2 linked regions of the Stegostoma tigrinum genome follow. The protein of the gene in region 1 purifies or fractionates together with the protein of each later gene. This does not show direct contact. Links are inferred from orthologs where the notes say so. Each region holds a gene or a part of one and is shown on either strand. Other genes may lie near its edges.

Region 1 (11,158 bases):
GACAGGTGCAACAAATTGCACACCAATTAATATAATACTTGTTTCAGTGTAAGTGCTGGAATCCATTATAAATGAAGTGGTACCAGGACATTTAGAGAATTAACACAAAATCAAGCTGAGTCAAAACGGTGTGAAGCTGTATGAACACAGCAGGCCAAGCAGCATCAGAGGAGCAAGAAAGCTCGACGTTTCGGGTTGGGACCCTTCTTCCGAAATGTCAAACTTTCCTGCTCCTCTGACGCTGCTTGGCCTGCTGTGTGCTGTATGACTCTAACACTCTATGCTATTTCACAATAAAAATTCAAACAAATGTATGCCTTAACTCAGTGCTCATATTACTAAATGGAAAATAGTCCTTTCATTTGCAAAGTACACTTTTCAGTAAGAGGGAGGATATGAATGCAAGCAACAAAGTGGGAAGTAAGTGATGAAATGCTCCCTAAAGATCTGCGTGTTATTGTGACCACATAATTTCATAATTTCAAAAATACTAAAGTCTTCAACTGCAATAAGCTTTTACTTAATTAAATCAACTTTCCACTAAATTTACTCAGTGAAATGCAAAAATGTGCAAAACCATAAAAATCTTATTATTACAAAGAAAACAAGAAGGGTGAACTATTTAGGCTAACAAGTCCACACCAACCCTCCAAAGTGCATGCCACCCAGACCCATCCCCCTACCCTTTCCTTGTAATCCTGCATCTCCCATAGCTAACACACCTAATCTACACTATGGGCAATTTAGCATGGCCAATCCACCTAGCCTGCACATTTTTGGACAGTGGGAGGAAACCGGAGCATCAGGCAGAAACCCACCCAAACACAGAATGTGCAAACTCCATACAGACAGTCACCAGAGGATGGAATCAAACCTGGTTCCCTGGCACTGCAAGGCAGCAGTACTAACCATTAAACCACCGTGCTGCCCAGCCTTTTCACCTGGTAAACAAATGAAGAGAAAACCATAGCGAGCCCATCAAGTTTCACCAACCATCCAAGGAGCATCCTACACACACCACCCCTCTCCACCACCATATCCCTGTGACCCTGCAAATACCTTAGCTAATTCATCTAGTCTGCACATCCCTAGACACTACAGGAATTTTAGCATGGCCAATTCACCTAATCTGCACATCTTTGAATTGTGGGAAGAAACTGGAGCACCCAGAGGAAACCAAACAGGCATGAGGAGAATTGGCATGGCAGTGCATGGATAGTGGGGTGCTCTTCAGAGGGTCGATGTAGACTTAATGGACTGAGTGGCGTCTTGCTGCACATGCTGCACTGATTCTATACTAACAATTATCTTCTAGGTTACTCACTGTCACCACACAAGTAGGCATGTGCACACCCTGATGTTATTTCCATATCTCAAATCGTTTTTGAATAAAGATAGTGAGGTTTCCTGCTTCCAGATAATTGTAATTTTCCCATGACAGCCAGTGTCAGCATAATTTCTTGTTAGTTAAGACCATAAGAATTAGGAACAAGAGAAGGCAATACAGTCCATCAAGCCTCCTCTGCAACAGTAGGTCTTGGGCTGCAATTAGACTTCCCTTCTACTCACTGTTCCCTGAAAAACCAAACACTGTCGTCATCTCAGTCTTAAATATAATCAAAGATGATGCCTTCACATCATCCCTAGTAGCAAATTCCAAAGAAATGCCACCTTATCAATAAAGAAATTCTTTCCATTCAGTCTTAAATGGTCGCGCCCTTAGCCTGAAACTTAACAGCTGTCTGAGATTTCCTGGCCTGGGGTTAACAACCTCTCTGTATATGCTGTCAGATAGTTTTTCATAGTCCATGAAAGCCTGTAGGCACTTGGTTTGTTGAATATCCCAACCCATACTGATTTACCTCACTCCAGAGTCCATGGCTGTCTTCCTCATTCATCTGCCTCCAGTCCCAGCAGTATCCATTACTGAGGTCGGGTACTGCTTCCCTTCTGTCAAAGACTGTGTGTGGGTATCCTTCTCCATTGATATTAGTAAATGAGAACAATTGGTGGCAGTGAATCTATCCCTTATGCTCTTCAAGAGATTCACTTAATCCAATGGTCTATACCTTATTCTTGACCAGAGCTTCACAATCTTCATTCATCTATTGTTCCCTATTCTTCTTCTTTAATGCTGGTCAAAATTGGATCAGTGAGATGACCAAGCATTGGAGCACAGTTATATATTAAAAAGGTTAACTGAAAGCATTTAATTTCATGGGATGCGGATAAAATCCAAAACGAGATATACCTAAACAACTCAGAGATAGTAAGAACTGCCAATACTGGAGTCAGAGATAACAGTGTGGAGCTGAAGGAACACAGCAGGCCAGGAAGCATCCAAAGAGCAGGATAGTTGATGTTTTGGGTTGGGGCCCTCCTTCAGACATGGGGGATGGGAAAGGGATCTCAGAAATAAATAGAGAGAGGAGGGGTGGGGCTGGGGAAGGTAGGTGGGACGGTGATAGGTGAGTGCAGGTTGGGAGTGGTGGGGATTGGTCAGTGAGGTGGGAGGAGCAGGTCAACATCAAGGTCAATCAAACAAACCTTTCACATCAGACAGAGGTTCACACACACATCTGTCAATGTGGTCTATTGCATCTGCTGCACCCAATGTGGCCTCCTCTACATCGGTGAGACCAAGCAGAGGCTCGGAGACTGCTTTGTAGAGCACCAGCGCTCTGTTCGCAACAAATGACAACACTTTTCAGTCGCGAACCACTTCAACTCCCTCTTCCATTCCCTGTGTGTCATGTCCATCCTGGGCGTCCTCCCGTGTCACAATGACGCCACGCGGAAACTAGAAAAGCAGCACCTCATATTCCACCTTGGGAGCCTACAGCCCAATGGTCTCAATGTGGACTTTACCAGTTTCAAAATCTCCTCATCCCATGACTAACCGTCCTTCTCACCCCTACCTCCTTGACCTGACACAACCTGTCCATCTTCTCTCCCACCTATCCACCCCTTCTACCTCACTGACCAATCCCCACCATTGCCTACCTGCACTCACCTATCACCATGCCACCTACATTCCCCAGCCCCACCCCTCTACTTATTTCTGAGCTCCCTGACCTCTCCCTATTTCTGAAGGGTCCCATGTCTGCTTTGCTATTCCTCTGATGCTGCCTGGCCTGCTGTGCTCCTGCAGCTCCAGCTGTATTATACCTAAACAACTAATGAGATGCCCAATTCAAAAAAAACCTCACATTTATACAAACCTTTCACAAATACGGCACATCCCAAAGCATTTTACTGTAGTATAGTATAGTGTATACAGTGTAGTATTGGACTTAGAAACAGTTCTGGATGTGAGTTTGCTCGCTGAGCTGGAACGTTCGTTTTCAGACGTTTCGTCACCATTCTAGGTAACATCATCAACTTCTCAAAACTCACTTAGGAACAGTAGCAGAACATTTGGTTCCTAAGCCCAATGTTTCCATACTACACTACATACACAATGATTGCATTTTGCTCCCAAGCCACGCAACATTTTGATTTGGAGCGACCACTGCTTCAGTCACTGAATCAATACATTGGAATGTCTTTTCCAACAGCATCGCGGGCTGGCTACAACCGTTCAAGGTGCCTGTACACTGCTCTCAACGGCAATAAGGGGTGGGTCATAAATGCATCGCGTATGTCTTTCTTTAATAAAAAGATAGTCATTCGCTCCCTACCAGCTAGATTCTTTGCCCCAGTTTACAAAATGAACGCATGCAAACTCGATTTAGTTTCGATTAAAGATGGCATACTTTCACCCCTCAAATTAAACAGGGTGAGGCTCAGTTTACTTTCACCTACAACCTCATCTTCAGAGTTCTAGACAGATTGAGCTGCCATGAAGCTGGAAATTGCTGTATGTAAATATAATCTGGTATAGGCAAGAAATGCCTTTGGTTTGTTTGCTGGATAGAATCAAACAAATCACTGTCCGCTTGTTTCTCGATATGCCACTGCACAGAAGCGAACAGCTTCACTATGTATGTATATAAAGATTTTTTAATCAATAAAGTATATTTTTGATATTAAAAATGCTATTTCGAAACAACCCTAAATAAACATAATAAACATTTTTTTCTGCGTATGTTAAATCCTCCGGAGGGCCATCACGCTGAGCTACCCAGCAAAGAGTAGTTTCGGTTTTATTCGTCTAATCCGAACCCAGCATCAAAAACATTACAAAAAGGCTCTTTCCTTCAAAGAGCAGAGCAGCGCTGAGCAGTGACAGGATTTTACAGGTAGATAACTCCAGGTGTACTTCTGACTTTGTGTATGGTATCGCTAGCACGTTTTTGAAAGTTTCACATCCCCGTCAATAGCAACGCAGGAAGTTTTCATAACGGCATGTAATAAATGAGTACAGTGGAACCTTAGGGGTACCTTAAGCAATGTTCTCATCACATCTCAAATTCCACAACAAGGCTCGTGGAATGTGAGGTTCTACTTTTCTGTGCTGTTCCCAGTTGCACACGGCGGCTTCGTAAACTCACAAATGAACTTCCCTTGTGGTGTAGATGCCGGGGGCAGTCTGAGAGCTGCACCCTTTCCGAACTGGTGCGGGAGGCTCAATGCTCAGTGGCTGCTGGCCCAGAAACACAATTAACAACATCAGATAATGATCTCCGTCTCCACTTCCTTCTGGCGCGGAGAGGTACTTCCACCCGTTCTAAAACATCCCGACGTTTCAATAGGCAAGGCTAGTGGTGTTTCACAAGGCGTTCAGGTCAGAGGGAGGCTGAGTCATTCCTTAAGATCATTCTAAGACCGTCAACATCGTGTCAGAATTCAGAAACTGCCCTTTCTCTCTCTCTCTCCAGTTTCTGGCCTATATTAGTTGTGAAAGAGGAAGCTGACATCAGATAACCCGAAGGGCGTCAGTCTGTCGTTGTGCAGAAAAGACAAGTCAACACTTCCGGCAGGGGAAGCAGATTTTTGGAACTGATTACTTGCTCTGAGGAGTTTCGATTTTTGTATCCAGCTGCAGGATTTACAGTATTTTTGTAATATATAAGCTGGCAATAGGTAGGCATGCAAGAAAAACTGAGCATGAATGAATAGGACATGGTAGCTTAGCTTTTACTGCATGGAGAAATACTCCTATTCTGGCACTCCCCGACATTTCAAAGCACCAGAATTGAACCACCAGAGATGCTTTTGCAGGATCTTTCAAATCCCGTGGCAACATAGGTGGTTCCACAGCAGCATGCTCTCCCAAGCCAACAGGCCCAGAATTGAGGTACTAATTATTCCAAACCAGCTTGACTGGACAGTCCATGTCCTTCATAACCTAATGCCAAACTCCCAAACAACTGCTCTACTCAGAACGCATTGTGGTATGGTAACCCAAGGAGGGCTGCAGAGGTCAGACAAGCTGGCCAGTTCACAGGATTCCGAGTTATACAGTCACACAGCGCGGAAACAGACCCTTCGGTCTAACTCATCCATGCCGACCAGGTTTCCCAAACTAAACTAGTTTGCCTGCATTTGACCCATATCCCTCTAAACATTTCTTATCCATGTACCTGTCTAAATGTCTTTTAGATGTTGTAACTGTACCTGCATCTACCACTTCCTCTGGCAGATCATTCCACAGACTACCCTCTGTGTGAAAAAATTGCCCCTCAGGTCCCTTTTCAATCTTTCTCCTCTCACCTTAAACCTATGCCCTCTGGTTCTGAACTCCCCTACCCTAGGAAAAAAGACCTTGGCTATTCACCTTATCTATGCCCTTCATGAATGGATTAACTTCTCTATGGTCACCCCTCAACCTCTGAATGTCCAGGGAAAAAGTCCCAGCCTATCCATCTCCAGGTCCCAGCCTCCGGTCCCAGCAACATCCTGGTAAATGCTTTCTAAACCGTCTCCAATTTAATAATATCATTCCTATAGCAGGATGACCAGAACTGTACACAGTACTCCAATAGTGAGCACCAACATCCTTACAGCCTTACCATAATGTCCCAACTCACTACTCTGAACGATGAAAGCTAGTGTGCCTTTCACCCTCTTCGCCACCCGGCCTAACTGTGTCACTACTTTCAAGGAACCATGTAACTGAATCCCTTGGCCTCTCTATTTGACAATACTCTCAGCGCCTTATCATTAACTCTATAAGTCCTGCCCTTGTTAGTCTTACCAAAATGCTACACCTCACATTTATGTAAATTAAACTCCATCTGCCACTTTGCGGTCTTTTGGCCCAGCTCAGCTTTTAAGACCTCACCCCTTTCATAACCTATGTCACTGACACAATTTGTACCATGACCACTGGATGTTTACCCTCACCCTCCAGAATGTCCTCTAGCTGTATTGAGACATTCTTGATCTTGGTACTAGGGAAGCAACGTACCATCCTGGAGTCTCGTTTTCTGCCACAGAAACACATGTTTATTCCTCTTACAATTCAATCCCTACAATTATTGCATTCCCACACTTTCTCCTCCTTTCCTGTGCAGCAGAAACAACTGTGCTGCAATAAATTTGGCTGTTGCTGGTTTACCCTGAGAGGTCAATCCCCCAACAGCATTCAAAGCAGTATATCTGTTTTGCAGTGGAATATCCTCAGAAAATTCCTGTGCTGCCCACCTTAGACTAAGATGGATGCAGACTAAACAAAAGAGATTTTGAATAGCAAAGTTGGAGCGGCTAAAAGTGGGAAGATAGATGGAAATATGGAGAAGCTGAGGCAAGATTGAGCAATGAGCACTTTGTGACCACAGAATGCTTTGGGCATGACCTTGGTAACAAACATTTCCCTAAGTAAACGCCTTCAGTAATTGGCATGAGGAACAAACTTTCATAAAACCATAAAGCAAAACTGATACAAATGTGAACATTCTCAGATTACTATTTTTGGCAGCTTGGCACTCACCTTATCAACATTGTCCTCTCATTCTGGTTATTTTATCAAGTATGGTTCAGCAAGCAGGAGAGCATCCCATTAACATTCAAAAGTCACACAAATGTCACTTTTCTGAAGAAGGGTCCCAACCTTCATGGATAGGGTGGATAGGTATGATGCTGTTTCCCAGGGTGGAGGGGTTAATTACTAGGGGACCCAGGTTCAAAGTGTTGGGACATAGGGTGAAGGGGAGTTTAAAGGAGATGTGCAAGGCTAGTTTTTCACAAAAAGAGTGATTAATGCCTGAAATGCTCTGCCAGAGGATCTGGTGGAAGCAGACACAATAGCAGCATTCAAGAGTCACCTGGACAAATATATGAAAAGGAAAGGGAGAAAGGGATATTGGATCCTGTAAGAGAAGACAGTTTTATATGGCAGGGAAAATGTGTTGGTGCAGGTTTGGCGGGCCGAAGGGCCTATTGCTGTGTTGTATTGTTCTTTGTTCTTAACTTTGTTTATTACCTGAAACATATTGTTGAAAGAAGACATATTTTGTGGAAGCTTTTCTTTTTGCACTCATCAAGACAGTTTGCACAATGTACCAGATTAAATAGAAAACATCATTCAAAACGAGAATGCTAATTGGTTGGCAAAATGGACTCTATTTGATAGAGGTGTTGTCATGGAGAATGTACTAGTTAATAATGACTGTAAATTAAGTCTCAAGATTTATTTATATTTTAAATAAGCTGCTTTGGATACCAGTATTCCATCACCAAGTTACTCGTTGTTAACATGTGCATAGTTCTTGACACTGGTCTGGCTTCCCAGAGTCAACTCTCAGAGTGCACAGAACCTCTAACAGTGATAATGGGAACTGCAGATGCTGGAGAATCCGAGATAATAAAGTGTGAAGCTGGATGAACACAGCAGGCCAAGCAGCGTCTCACACTTCTGTTTGTACCTGTCAGGCAAGGCTTCCTGGTTGGACCAGATTAACAGCCCCAGTCAGAGAATTCATATTCTTTGAGATTCATTTGGCTGAAACATGTTACAATCATTTCATGTTTGACTCTGAAATATTTTTATTCATTTTTGAGATGTGGATTGTTGCTGGCTGGCCAGTATTTATTGTCCATCCTTAGTTGCCCTTGAGAGGGTGATAGTGAGCCGCCTTTTTGAACCACAACAGTCCACCTGCTGTAGATTGACATTGAGAGGCATTATGAAAAGTTTTGCTTTATCTTTATAGGAACGTATTTGCCCTGTACTGCTACCAATTCGTCCTTGAATGCCTCCCACCGATCTGACACAGTTTTATCTAAAACGAACTGCTCCCATTGCATTTGGCTACCAAATAGTACAGCAAAATAACCGTTTTCTGGTTTAGAACTTTAACTGATTCCTCAAACTTGTTTTTTGTAACTATCTTAAATCTGACTGAGTTATGATCATTCTCTTCAAAATATTCCCCATTGACAAGACTTCTGTCTGCCCAAGCTCCTTTCTAAATATCAAGTCAGAACAGTCCTTTCCCTTGTTGAATTTCCAACGTACTGGTTTAAAAGTTCTCCTGTGTGCAATTTAAGAATTATTCTCCCTCTCTACTTTGCACATTACCTTAGTTAATATTTGGATAATTGAAATGCCCTACTCTTAAGGCCATATTAATCATACACTTCTCTGAAATTTGATTGCGTATTTGATCCTCTTTCTCTCCCTGATTAGGGATGTATACTGCATGTCCAGCAGCGTGTTTGGTCCTTTAGTTTTTTTTTCCGTCTATCGATACTTTTTTTCTTTATTCATTCACAGGATGAGGGTGCAGCTGGCTAGGCAGCATTTATGCCCATTCCTAATTGTTAAGAGTCAACCACATTGCTGTGGGTCGGGAGTCACATGTAGGCCAGACCAGGCAAGGGTGGCAGCTCCCTTCCCAAAAGGGCATTAGTGAACCAGATGGGTTTTTCCTGACAGTCGACAGTCATCATTAGATTCTTAATTCCAGATACTTATTGAATTCAAATTCCACTATCTGCTGTGGTAGGATTCAAACCCAGGTCCCCAGAACATTATCTGGGTCTTTGAATTAACAGTCCAGTAATAATACCACTTCGGCCATCGCCTCCCCTAAATGGCCTCATTTATTGGCCTATCTCAAGAACTGGGCAAGTTCTTCAGCTCTTACCGGGTCTCCTGGCCTGACTCTATCTTCACCATATATCAACATCACATTGATGTAGCCAGGATTTCATGCAACTCTGCGCCATTCCCCTGGGGATGAAAATCGAAACCATGCATTCAAGTGTTTACACTCACCAACACAATGAAGTTACAAAGAGGCAGGACAAATTAAATAGTTTTAAAAGTCCAAATAAAGTCTTTTTTATGTATGTTCGGTGGATTGATGTCTTGGATCGTTTCACTCAATTGGCTGGATGACTCATTTGTAATTCAGAGTGATGCCAACAGAATGGGTTCAGTTCTTGTATTGGCTGAGCCCATCATGAAAACCCTGCCTTTTCAACCCTGTCCCTTGCCTGAGGCATAATGACTCTTAGGTTAAACTCACCACCAGTTGTCTCCATGCGATCCGCTGACTGAAGCATATGAATCCAGCTAAACAGGACTTGGAGAGGGCTGCACCCTGTAACACAGATTCTTCACAATTGCCCTTGCCTTTGCTACCTGTTGTTGCTGATCTAGAAACTGACTTGAACTCATTCGGTAAAAAGCCAACAGTGTGAACATAGTAGACTAAACAGCTACTTTACGATTTTAAAGCCAAAGAATGTTATCTTGACAACAGGTTGGGACACAGGATGACTGGAAGATGATGCTGGAATATGTAAGGAGAGGGGTGCCTGTCACCTGCTCTCCACAATGCCATTTTGCCTAGAAAGCTGGCAGACAGGCTACTCAGTGAGAGACCAATTTAGCTGCTAAGGAGCTGCCATCACTTGGGTTGACCATCCAGTGAAAGCCAGCAGCCTCGCAGTAGGCTCCAGGGGAGGGTCAATTTCCTGGCCCACAGTGGGGACCCTCTGGCAGTAATGGCTACGCACTGTGGAACCACCTGCCGTCACTAAACACCCTCTAAAATCCAGGTTTGATTCCTGCCTTGGGTGACTGTCTGTGCGAAGTTCTCCTTGTCTCTGCATGGGTTTCCTCCAGTTGTCCAGTTTCTTCCCATCATCAAAATGCAGATGTATTAGGAGGACTGGCCATGCAAAATTGCCCCATCACATCCACAGTTTTACAGGCTAGGTGTGTTAGCTGTGGTAAATGCAAGTTCAGGGATAGGGTTGGAGCATGGGGGTCATGTTTGGAGGGTCTGTGCAGATTTGATGGGCCAAATAGCCTCTACTTGCACCATGGGGATTTGTTGATTCCAGAACAGATTTGATTATTGTGTAAAATATTGACCATTTATTCACTGTAAATGAATCTTAAAAATCTGTGAATCTACAGTGTGTTTCACATCAAGGGGTTCCAAAGGATGAAGATGTTGAGCATTTAAATGGAGAACATTAAAATCTCAAAAGATCATTTCAAAAACTTTTTTTTTCTTTAGCATCACCTGTGGTGCTGGACTTTCATCAAACTGACTATCATGTCACTTGAATATGCTAATGTAATAAACAGCCTCTGGATTTTCTCTCTCAATATGTAATATTACAACATCATAAAATATTTACAGCATGTCAGGAGGCTATTCAGACCATTGTATCTATGTCAGCTGTTTGTGAGAGCATTTTAAAAGTGCCACTCCCTGGCAGCTCTGCGGGTAACTCCCTTCAGGCCCATAGGGAATCACTAATTAAACTACTTAGGGAGCTCAGTCAGTATGAGTTCCCTTGATATTAGACATAGGCTAGGCCAGCCCAGCTCTAAATTATTTACAAAACCAGACCCAGCCCCTTCTATCTCTCCCTACTCCCCTTTTATTTTAATGACTCGCATTGCCCATAATAGGCCTTGCTTTTAAATATTTAATTGGCTACACAAGTGATTTTACTGGTGGTGGTTAACAGTTTTAAAAGGATCCAAAATAAAAAAAAACTACGGTGATCTGATGGTAGGAAATTCATTCAGATGTGTGGATAAATAGAAAAGATATTAGAAAGACAAACAAAAAAACTCAAAAAAGTAGAATAAAAGCAGACCCAGCCTACATGGGTGATTACAGGTGGTGGCTATTAGTTTATATAAAAACAACGACCGTGATTTGGTGGTGGGAAATTGTTTAATTGAGTGTCACAGTACTCCTGGATATAACAGAAAACAAACAGGCTGAGCCACTGCTCTATTCTG
Region 2 (10,610 bases), on another chromosome or scaffold:
AATCCAGAGATTCAGGCTTCAAATTCTACAATGGCAGCTGATGAAACTTCAAATTCAGTTCATAAGTTTGCAATATTCAAAGCTAGTCTCAGTAATGGTGGGCATGAGAATTATCAACAATTGTTTTAAAATCCAATTGGTTCGTAAATTTTCATGAGGCAAGGAAATCAACTATTCTCACCTGGTCATTCTTATATTTGAATCCAGATCCTCAGCAATCTTACTGACCTCTGAAATAGTCAAACACTCATTCAGTTTAATGACAATTAAGAATGAATGAGTGACACATATTGGCCTAGCCAGTGACATACACATCCTGTGAAAGCATAAATAATAATCGGTGGCGATTTCACATGGAATCGATGTGGCATCTTACAAATTGTATGCTTTCAATGCTTGACCAACTACTCATTCCACAATGTCTCATGCATCACAAAACACACGTTAAAAAAAAAATCAACGTTCGCATAAATTCACATCATATTTCAAACAATTCACAGAATCCTATTGCAGAAGGAGGTAGGTCAGCCTGTACCAACTCTACTACCAACATTCAGTTTTATTTATTCGTTTGTCACATGCCCTAAATGTAGGAATACATAATTACAGCAAAAAGTGTACAAAGATGCCATTCACCAGCACCCATTTGGTTACAGAAACCAGAATTAAAAGATTTTAACAAAAATAAAAAGGTAAGTAAGTGAAGAAGTCCAGATCTCAGAGTCCCATCTCCACAATGATGCAGGCACCGGTCCAATCGCTAGGGCACCCCGACTGCTTTCCTCTCACCAGCCCCACTCTCACCGCCGCCTACAACTTCACCGCCAAACCAGCCCATTCTTGGCCAGCCATCGCTGCAGGACATGACCTGAGCATTCCCAGTTGCGATCCGACTCCTCAGGTTGGTGGTTTAAAGTGCAGAGTCTCAGGGGCTAGAATTATAGCAGAGAGGAGAGAGAAGAGAAAAAGAAAGGAAAAGGAAAGAGAACTGGCGAGTAGAGTGGAGCTCCAAATGGAGCGACTTATGCTGTTGCCAACTTGCCAGTTGCAATCTCCTATCTCCTCCCCATATCCCTGCACAAAATTATGGCCCAAAAGATCCATCTAATACCCTCATGAATTCCCCAATTGTACCTGCCTCCTCCATGCTTCCAAACAATGCATTCCATACCGTAACTATTCACTGTATGAAAATGTCTTTTCCTCACATCGCTTTCACATCACTTGAAACCATTCCTCTCATTCTTGTTTCTCTTATAAAACAGCTTCACTGTTTCTACTCTATCCAGTTTGCCAATGATTTTGCTTCTCTCCAGAACAACAGTACCAGCATCTTCAATCTATCCCCATAGCTGAAATTTCTTATTCCTGAAACCATTCTAATCACATAGCCCCTACACACTCTCTAATGCATAAACATCTTTCCTATTATGTGGCACCCACAACTATTCACAATACTGCAGCTGAGATCTAACAAGTGTCTTGTACAAGTTCAACATCACCTCTCTGCTCTTGTACACTATGTGCCTTCTACCCTATTTTCTTTTATTAAATATACCATACTTTATTCTTAAAAAAAAATCTAGAAGTATGTACAAAGGGTCCTAAAACAGTTCCATACAGTCTTTGCAAAGAAAAAGGAACAAACATTACATTGGAAATTAACATTCCTCAGAGCTTCCCTGCAGTCGCAAAACAAAAGCCTTTTCTAAACACATAGGAAACTATTTACCTAATTTTGACAAAGGGTTATTATGGCACTGAATGGACCATCATTATAATTTGGCAGAAAGATGTCAGACAGTAGAGATTCCCCACTGCCTTGGAAGAAGCTGGCCCAAACTTGAGTGTGTCCCTCAGCACGTAGATCTGGGGCTTGGCACACACTGGTCTGCAACATTCTGTCAAGCCAATCTTTACACTAGAAGATCAACTAGTTTTGGGAAGACCAAAGAGCATCTTTCACTGAGTTGATGCTCCTCCACGCACACTTGACGTTTGTCTCAGTGCGCGTTCTGGAGAATAACTCACAGAACCCACAGTGGCTCAGCGGTTAGCACTGCTGCCTCACAGCTAGGAACTCAGGTTCGATTCCACCCTCAGGTGACTGTGTGGAGTTTGCACATTCTCCACGTGCGGGTCTCCCCCGGGTGCTCTGGTTTCCTTCCAAAGGTGTACAGTCTAGGTGGTTTGGCCATGCTAAATTGCCCGTAGTGTTCAGGGATGTATAGATTAGGTGGATTATGAGGGATGGATCTGGTTGGGATGCTCTGAGAGGTGGTGTGGACTCGTTGGGCCGAAGGGCCTGTTTCCACACTGTAGGGATTCTATAACCTACGAACACAGAGTTGTGTGTCATGGAACTGCTCGGGATGAACCTTGACAAAAATCACTGTATCTGTCTCCAGATCTTCTTTGCACGGGTACACTCCAGAGGAATAGGAGTGACTATGTTGTTCCATCTCTTTAACCACCCCTCAGGGTGGTGTGCAGTGGCACTGAGTCAGAGCCCACATAAAAAATCTCACAGGTAGTGCCTTTCTTCCCACATTGGGGCTTGTTGGAAAGTTCTGGCGATGAGGCATTCTGTCAAATGACTTTGACAGTCGACTCAGGGAACTATGCGACAGGATCACCTCCTTTTCCTGCTGAGTCTCGAGGATGCTAAATGCTGACCATTTTCTGACGGGCTTGTAGTCATTGGTGTTTTTCTTTGTAAGTTTTTCGCCATGAAACGCAGACGCTGTGGAACATTCCATGGCAACAAGGCCAGGCCCAGCCTTTGTAACACTGGGCACAGGTCGAACATCAGCACACAACGACATGTGGTGTTTGCGTACCGAGGGTCTACGCACGGCCTGATGCAGCTGCACACAAAAGGTGGTCATCAGGATGAGGGCAGTGTTGGGTACATCCATTTCGTGCCCCTTAGAGAGGTTTATACATTGTGTCCCTGTGGACACAATCCAACTTTCAGCTCCAAAAAAATAGAAGATGGCTCGGGTGCCCACTGAGGTGCAGGTTCTGCAAATGGGCCAGATCTGCACCAAATGCTACAACACCATGAGTGCCTCCCACCTGATTCCCAAGATTTTACCTGTAACGGATATGGAGTGGTGCTCACATCTGCCTAGTTTCTGCATCACCTTGGTGCTACACTCCTCTCAAGTTTTTGCACACACCCCAGCTCCTCCAAACACATTCCCACCACCTTCAGGTAACCTGAAATGAAGGCAAAGGGGATAAAGTTTCGAAAGAAAACAACCTCACTCTTGCCTCGATTTACCTTGGCTCCCAAGGCTAGTTCGAACTGGTCACTGATGCTCACAAGTCTACATGCTGACAGCTGATCTGAATAGAAAATGATCATGTTTGTACCCCCTACTCCCAGGCTGACATCCTTCCTGATGGATTTAGCAAAAGGCTCTATACAACAGACAAACAAGGCAGGAGACAATGGGCAGCCCTGCCTGACTTCCAATCTGATCAGGAAGCTTTCTGACTTCAACCCATCGATTGAGACTGTTTTACTTATGTTGATGTACAGCAGTCCAATCCAAGTGTGGATTCCCTCCCCAAAGTCCAATTTGGACAGCACATCCCACACATTCGTATGCAATATCCTGTCAAAGCCCTCTCCTGGTCCAGGGCTGACGAGGGAGAGGGTACCTTGAGATAGTCAATCTTATCTCTGAAGAGGCAGGAAGGGCAAGGCACCAGTACAGCATGAGGTTTGGTTGTTGTGAATCGTCAACCCCACAGCAGACAGCCTATTATTCACTGCTCTCTCCACCTGCCCTACCTTCTCCAATGCACATAGAAATGCAAATTTCTCAGCTCCTGTGCCCCCTTCAGTAATGCAAGCCCTACTTTATGTTCTTCGGACAAAGGTGCATCACAACACTTCTCTGCTTCCTTGTTAATACGTGTTGGTAAAGATATTATACAAACTATTTTCAAACTCGTGTAATTATAACTCTCCTCCATGCTCTCAAGTACCATCAATAGCATACCCTTCATCCATTGGAGAGTCGAACTGTAGACACTTGACTGCCACAGTCATCCTCCAGTCGCTGTGCTGGGCTCTGAACACCACGCCATAGCTTCCCTTGCTGATATAATGCAGATCCACCAACTTCTGATAGGGAACCACGTCCAGGATGGACGAAATACTCGAGAAACTGCTCCCCCTGGAAGACTCCATAACTGCTGAATCGCTCAGCGCTGTTTATTGCTCTCTATTTCTCCCTAGCTCTGTCTCAATGCAGTCTCAGATGTTTGCCCATTGCTGGAGAACAGCGTCAGCGCCAAAAGAAACTAAACATTTTCACAGGAGAACGCCCCCTCCCGCATAGCTCAACCTCGCGCACACAGTGCTGGAGCGAAAAGGTGTGTAAACACCACGGCAGAGAGAGAGAGAGAGAGAGAAAGCTGTTCCGTCTGTCACTTCCTCACAGGAATTCCCCAAATTTACGACTCTTCCGCCCTTCATGATCAGTCACTGCGCAGCCTAAACTCGGCTGGAAACCACGCCTTTTACGGGAAACACATAGGCTATCGTCAGTGCCGCTTCAACTCTTTATTTCTGAAAGAATCCACCGAGTAAAGACGTTTACGCAGTGTTCATGCTAATTGTGCAACTTGAGGTTCCGACAGTCATGGAAAAACTTGTTCTGCTCTAGATATATCTGAGAAAGTTACGCAAAGAATAAGTGATGGATACCGGCTACAGGACGTAGATGCGCGGTGCAATTTCACTGAAAGCGATTATCGGTTGCGTTTGTAATTACTATCCTAGTTCCACGAGAAACCAATCTTAACGAAGGAAGAGATAATGGGAACTGCAGATGCTGGAGAATCCGAGATAATAAAATGTGAGGCTGGATGAATACAGCAGGCCAAGCAGCATCTCAGGAGCACAAAAGCTGACGTTTCGGGCCTAGACCCTTCATCGGAGAGGGGGATGGGGTGAGGGTTCTGAAATAAATAGGGAGAGAGGGGGAGGCGGACCGAAGATGGAGAGAAAAGAAGATAGGTGGAGAGGAGAGTATAGGTGGGGAGGTAGGGAGGGGATAGGTCAGTCCAGGGAAGACGGACAGGTCAAGGAGGTGGGATGAGGTTAGTAGGTAGGAAATGGAGGTGCGGCTTGGGGTGGGAGGAAGGGATGGGTGAGAGGAAGAACACGTTAGGGAGGCAGAGACAGGTTGGACTGGTTTTGGGATGCGGTGGGGGGAGGGGATGAACTGGGCTGGTTTTGGGATGCGGTGGGGGAAGGGGAGATTTTGAAGCTGGTAAAGTCCACATTGATACCATTGGGCTGCAGGGTTCCCAAGCGGAATATGAGTTGCTGTTCCTGCAACCTTGGGGTGGCATCATTGTGGCACTGCAGGAGGCCCATGATGGACATGTCATCTAAAGAATGGGAGGGGGAGTTGAAATGGTTCGTGACTGGGAGGTGCAGTTGTTTACTGCGAACCGAGCGGAGGTGTTCTCCAAGGCGGTCCCCAAGCCTCCGCTTGGTTTCCCCAATGTAGAGGAAGCCACACCGGGTACAATGGATACAGTATACCACATTGGCAGATGTGCAGGTGAACTTCTGCTTAATATGGAAAGTCATCTTGGGGCCTGGGATAGGGGTGAGGGGGGAGGTGTGGGGGCAAGTGTAGCACTTCCTGCGGTTGCAGGGGAAGGTGCCAGGTGTTGGTGGGATTGGAGGGCAGTGTGGAGCGAACAAGGGAGCCACGGAGAGAGTGGTCTCTCCGGAAAGCAAACAAGGGTGGGGATGGAAAAATGTCTTGGGTGGTGGGGTCGGATTGTAGATGGCGGAAGTGTCGGAGGATGATGCATTGTATCCGGAGGTTGGTGGGGTGGTGTGTGAGAACAAGGGGGATCCTCTTTGGGCGGTTGTGGCGGGGGCGGGTGGTGAGGGATGTGTTGTGGGAAATGCGGGAGACGCGGTCAAGGGTGTTCTCAACCACTGTGGGTGGAAAGTTGCGGTCCTTGAAGAACTTGGACATCTGGGATGTGCGGGAGTGGAATGTCTTGTCGTGGGAACAGATGCGGCGGAGGCGGAGGAATTGGGAATAGGGGATGGAATTTTTGCAGGAGGGTGGGTGGGAGGAAATGTATTCTAGGTAGCTGTGGGAGTCGGTGGGCTTGAAATGGACATCAGTTACAAGCTGGTTGCCTGAGATGGAGACTGAGAGGTCCAGGAAGGTGAACGAAGGAAAAAAACTGCACTGACAGCAGCACTTGTAAAGAAACATCCAGCTCTACCCCTTGTTACCTCAGATTCTCCAGCGTCTGCAGTTCCTATTATCTCCAAAATACATTTGTATCCCATTTTGCATTGCTGTCGGGTGTTGTACAGCTTTTTAAAGCCAATTAATATTTTTCTAGGATGGGTCACTCGACCCGGAACGTTAATTCTGATTTCCGTTCACAAATGCTGCCAGACCTGCTGAACTTTTCCAGCAACTTCTGTTTTTGTTGCTGATTTACAGCATTGGCAGTTCTTTCTGTTTTTATCGTGTGATCTAAACTTGTTAAATGCCTTACTGAACTCCATTTAGACAACGTGCACTCCTCTGCCTTCATCAATCCTCAGTCACGTTTTCTTTCTCAAAAAACTATAATCGAGTTAGTGAGTCATGGTTCCCACGCACAAAACCATGTTGACTATCCATAATCAGCCCTTACCTTTCCAAATAGGTGTAAATCCTGTCCCTAAGAATCCTCTCTGAGAACCTGCCCACCACTGGTATCAGGCTCACCAATTCCCTGGCTTATCCTTACCTCCTTTCTTTAATAATGGCACAATTTTAGTCAACCTCCAGTCTTCTGGTACCTCAGCTGTGGCTATCAATGATACAAGTTTCTCAGCAAGGGACCCAGCAATCACTGCCCTCGCTTCCCACAACCTTCAGCTTTTAAACAATAGCAATTATTTACTGTATATCAAGAAGTGTTAAAGCAATCATAACTAACAAGATGATAGCATACAAAGACTCGTGCTCCAGACTCATTGCTACTGAACATTCTAATTGCTCCCAATTTACCTTTAAAGCTCATTCCTTATTCCTGGAATTAACAGAAAAAATGTATTTCACCGCTTTCCAGCAGTGACTCTGACTTCAGTGTTCCAGCTATTTGATGAGATACAACATTTCAAAGGGTCCTTTTGGCTAAACTGCTATCCAATTTTTTTCATTTCACAGCTCTGGATTCCACAGCTCTGCGCATGTCTTCATCTGCCTCCTAGGGGTACTGGATTTAAGCATCAGACTGTGCTCTTGGTTTCCAAAGCCTATTGCTATGGTTTAAAACTGAAACCAAGCTGATAACTCCCAGAAACTCCAGGTGGAGGGAGGGAAGAGAAGACATGGTGACAAGAGAATGTAACAAGTAAACTAAAAGAAAGGGAAGGAATGGGTGTTGGTTCACAATTTGAGGGTGTTGAACTCAATCTTAAGTCCAGGAACCTATAAAGTGCGTGGTCTGAAGATAAGATGTTGTTCCTCCAGTTTGCGCTGCGATTCACTGGAATATTGCAGATAAGTGTGCATGTGAGTAGGACGCTGTGTTAAAATAACCAGCTATGGGAAGGTTAAGATAATGTTTGCACTCAGATCTGAGGTGTCCGGCAAAGCAGTCACACTGGGTATTTGGTTTCTCCAATGTAGCATAGGCAAGATTGGAGGATGTACAGGTGAAATGCTGCTTCACCTGGAAAGACTGTTTCGGCCCTTGGATGGTGAGCAGGGAGGAGGTGAAAGGGTAGGTGTTGCACCTTCTGCGGTTGCAGGGGAAGGTGCCGTGGGAAGGGGATATCGTGTCAGTGGTCAATGAATGGACTCGGGTTTTCTAAAGGGAACGATCCCTCTGAAATGCAGACAGCGGGAGTGAGGGATAGATATGTTTGGTGGTGGCATTTTTCTGGGATTGTCTGAAATTATGGAGAATGATCCTTTGAATGCAGAGGATGTTGGGATGAAAAGTGAGGATATGGGGGACCCAATCACACTTGTCTTCCCCACTTTAATTATACTGCTCCCACTCTTTCTTGTCCCCCATCCTTCTTGTATCCCTTCTCTGCATTCCACTTTCCTTCCTCTATTCCACAGGACTATTCCAGTGCCCCGAAACAATGACACCCTTTAAGTTTCATTCTATACTCCATACTATCTAATCCACTTCTATTTGAACTTGTTCTACCCCTTTTTGAGTGCAGGACCCTTTTGATTTCTCTCCCATTTGCATTTTTTTTAATTTCAAAAATATACTTTATTCACAAAAAATCTCTTTGTACGTATACATTGTCATAAATGCAGTTTAGTTCTGGACAGCAACATATCAAGTCAACATGCCAACATTTGAAACTGAACGAACTGTGGATGCTGTAAAGCAGGAACAAAAACAAAGTTGCTGGAAAAGCTCAGCAAGTCTGGCAACATCTGTGGAAGAGAAAACAGAGTTATCGTTTCGAGTCCGGTAATCCAAGGAAGGGTCTGAGGAAGGGTCACGAGATCCGAGACGTTAACTCAGATTTGTCCTTCACAGATGCTGCCAGACCTGCTGAGTTTTTCCAGCAACTTTGTTTTTGTTCCTGCAAACATTTGAGACAGCAAGAACTGCAGATGGTGGAGTCAGAGATAACACTGTGGAGCTAGAGGAACACGTCAGGCCAGGCAGCATCAGAAGAGTAGGAGAGTTGACGTTTCAGGTCAGACCCTTCTTCAGAAACAGGGAGGGGGAAGGGAGCTGGGAAGTAAATAGAGAGAACAGGGATGGGGCTGGGGAAGGTAGGCGGGATAATGATAGGTGAGTGCAGGTAGGAGTAGTAGGGATTGGTCTGTGGGATGGGTGGGGTGGATTGGTGGGAGAGGAGATAAACAGGTTGTGTTTGGTCAAGGAGGCAGGGATGAGAGTTTGACTCTATCCCAATAAACCAAAGGCATCTCTTACACATACAGGATTATATTTACATGCATTGAGACACTAGGAAGGTCCTGTAACTGAACAAACTCCTAACTTCAGCAGTGGTGTTTCCCCACTTTACCTTGGTGCCAGCTGTCTCAGGCTTTAATGTGTCCCTCAGAATGTAGCCCACTTGTATGCACTGATCAAGTTTGTTGGCATCGGCCAATGTGGCTACCTTGCTTGGGCAGGTAGTTGGTCTGGACTGGCTACACCTCTTACAAAGAGCGTTTTCACAAAGTAACACCGTGCTTATGAAGGATCTTTGTCTCTAAAGAACTGTGTGCTTACGCAAACGCTGGCTTGAAGGATTTACCCTTGGCATAACATTTACTTCAGATTTAGGTCTGCTTTTAGCTTTCACATTCCAGGCAGCTATGTAAAAGCTGAAGCTGACGCAGTCTCTGAACTGATTTTGTGAACCCATCTTTCCTGCTGGTTAAGTCCTAAGATAACTCACAGCAAAGAAACTCACTAAGCTCCACCTACTTCTGAAACACAGACAGCCTTGTTCTGGGTGGATATGGTAAATACCTTTTCAATTCCAAAGATTTCCTCAATTTTGGGAAATAGCATATATTCAATAGAATAATTGGAGATAGCAAGCCTCCAGTATTTTCGCTACATTAGCTTACCCATTTTGTTATTACTTTCACTGCTTTAACTGTGATTGTATCCAGTAAACATAAATTATCTTTTGAATTGTAATTCTATTAATCTTTTGTGACCTTCTAGCCTCTAGATACTTAGCAGGGTTTTCTCTGTGAAATTTACATTTAAAATTTAATTTCTAATACTAAAAAGCTATACCTCTAAAACATATGATTATGACAGAATGCAATACATAACATAGTAAAAATTATATTATAAAAGTTGTAAACTATTAAACTAAAGGGGAACAAAGTATGGCAAATGAAAGAAAATTCATTATAAAAATATTTTTTTGCCAAGTAATCTTTTGGAATTTAATAATTTTGTATGAATGTAAATATTTTGTTTCATATTTGTGTTTAACCTGGTGTTTAAATAAAATAATTGTTTGAGGGAAGGTAATTATGAGAACTGTTGGTTGAAATCTCTTGAATATATAAAAAAAAGCTGTAAATAAATAACTTCTATGAAACCAATTTTAGTTTGATTTTCAGCTTTAATACCTATCTCATTCAGTCCATATACACGTAGGAAGAAAATCTAATTTTATTTCCTCACACAAACATTTTTTCTCTTATTCTTCAAGTCATTTTTAACTTTCATTCCTTTATTTTGCTGATGTAGGATGTGTAGACTAACTTGGAAGTCATTGTGAGGATCAAAGAAAGCTACAAAGACGTATGGATAAGGTAGCTGAATTAGCAGGAAAACATGTCAGCATGTGAAATGGTACACTTAAAATACGTAGAGACGTAATGGTGAATTTATTTATGATTTTGATGGGACGTTTGTTGACTCACTGTAATCTTGGGTTCCAGAGTTAGGAAAGGATGTTGAGGAGATGGAATGATTTAACGTGAAGTCACCCTTTTGCATAGAAAGTTGAGAAGCTGTGGAATGCTTAACTGGAATTAATGATTCAAGTGGAGACCGAGAATCGTTTAAATAAGTAATTGCAGGAAGAGTAAAGGGATAATGTAACC

The links.
Region 2: the proteins of nod2 (region 1) and ripk2 purify together in Homo sapiens (affinity purification with western blotting; 12 studies listed by BioGRID and IntAct, with this or other methods). This does not show direct contact. The link is inferred for Stegostoma tigrinum from reciprocal best matches to the Homo sapiens genes NOD2 and RIPK2.

The regions. Positions count from the first base shown.
Region 1 is NC_081369.1:27,096,003-27,107,160, forward strand, and holds the start of nod2 (nucleotide-binding oligomerization domain-containing protein 2), read right to left. Parts: upstream 4,876-11,158; 5' UTR 4,384-4,875; intron 1-4,383. UniProt on the Homo sapiens protein: Pattern recognition receptor (PRR) that detects bacterial peptidoglycan fragments and other danger signals and plays an important role in gastrointestinal immunity.
Region 2 is NC_081358.1:87,299,434-87,310,043, reverse strand, and holds the start of ripk2 (receptor-interacting serine/threonine-protein kinase 2), read right to left. Parts: upstream 4,489-10,610; 5' UTR 4,205-4,488; coding exon 4,014-4,204; intron 231-4,013; coding exon of another isoform or gene 182-230; intron 1-181.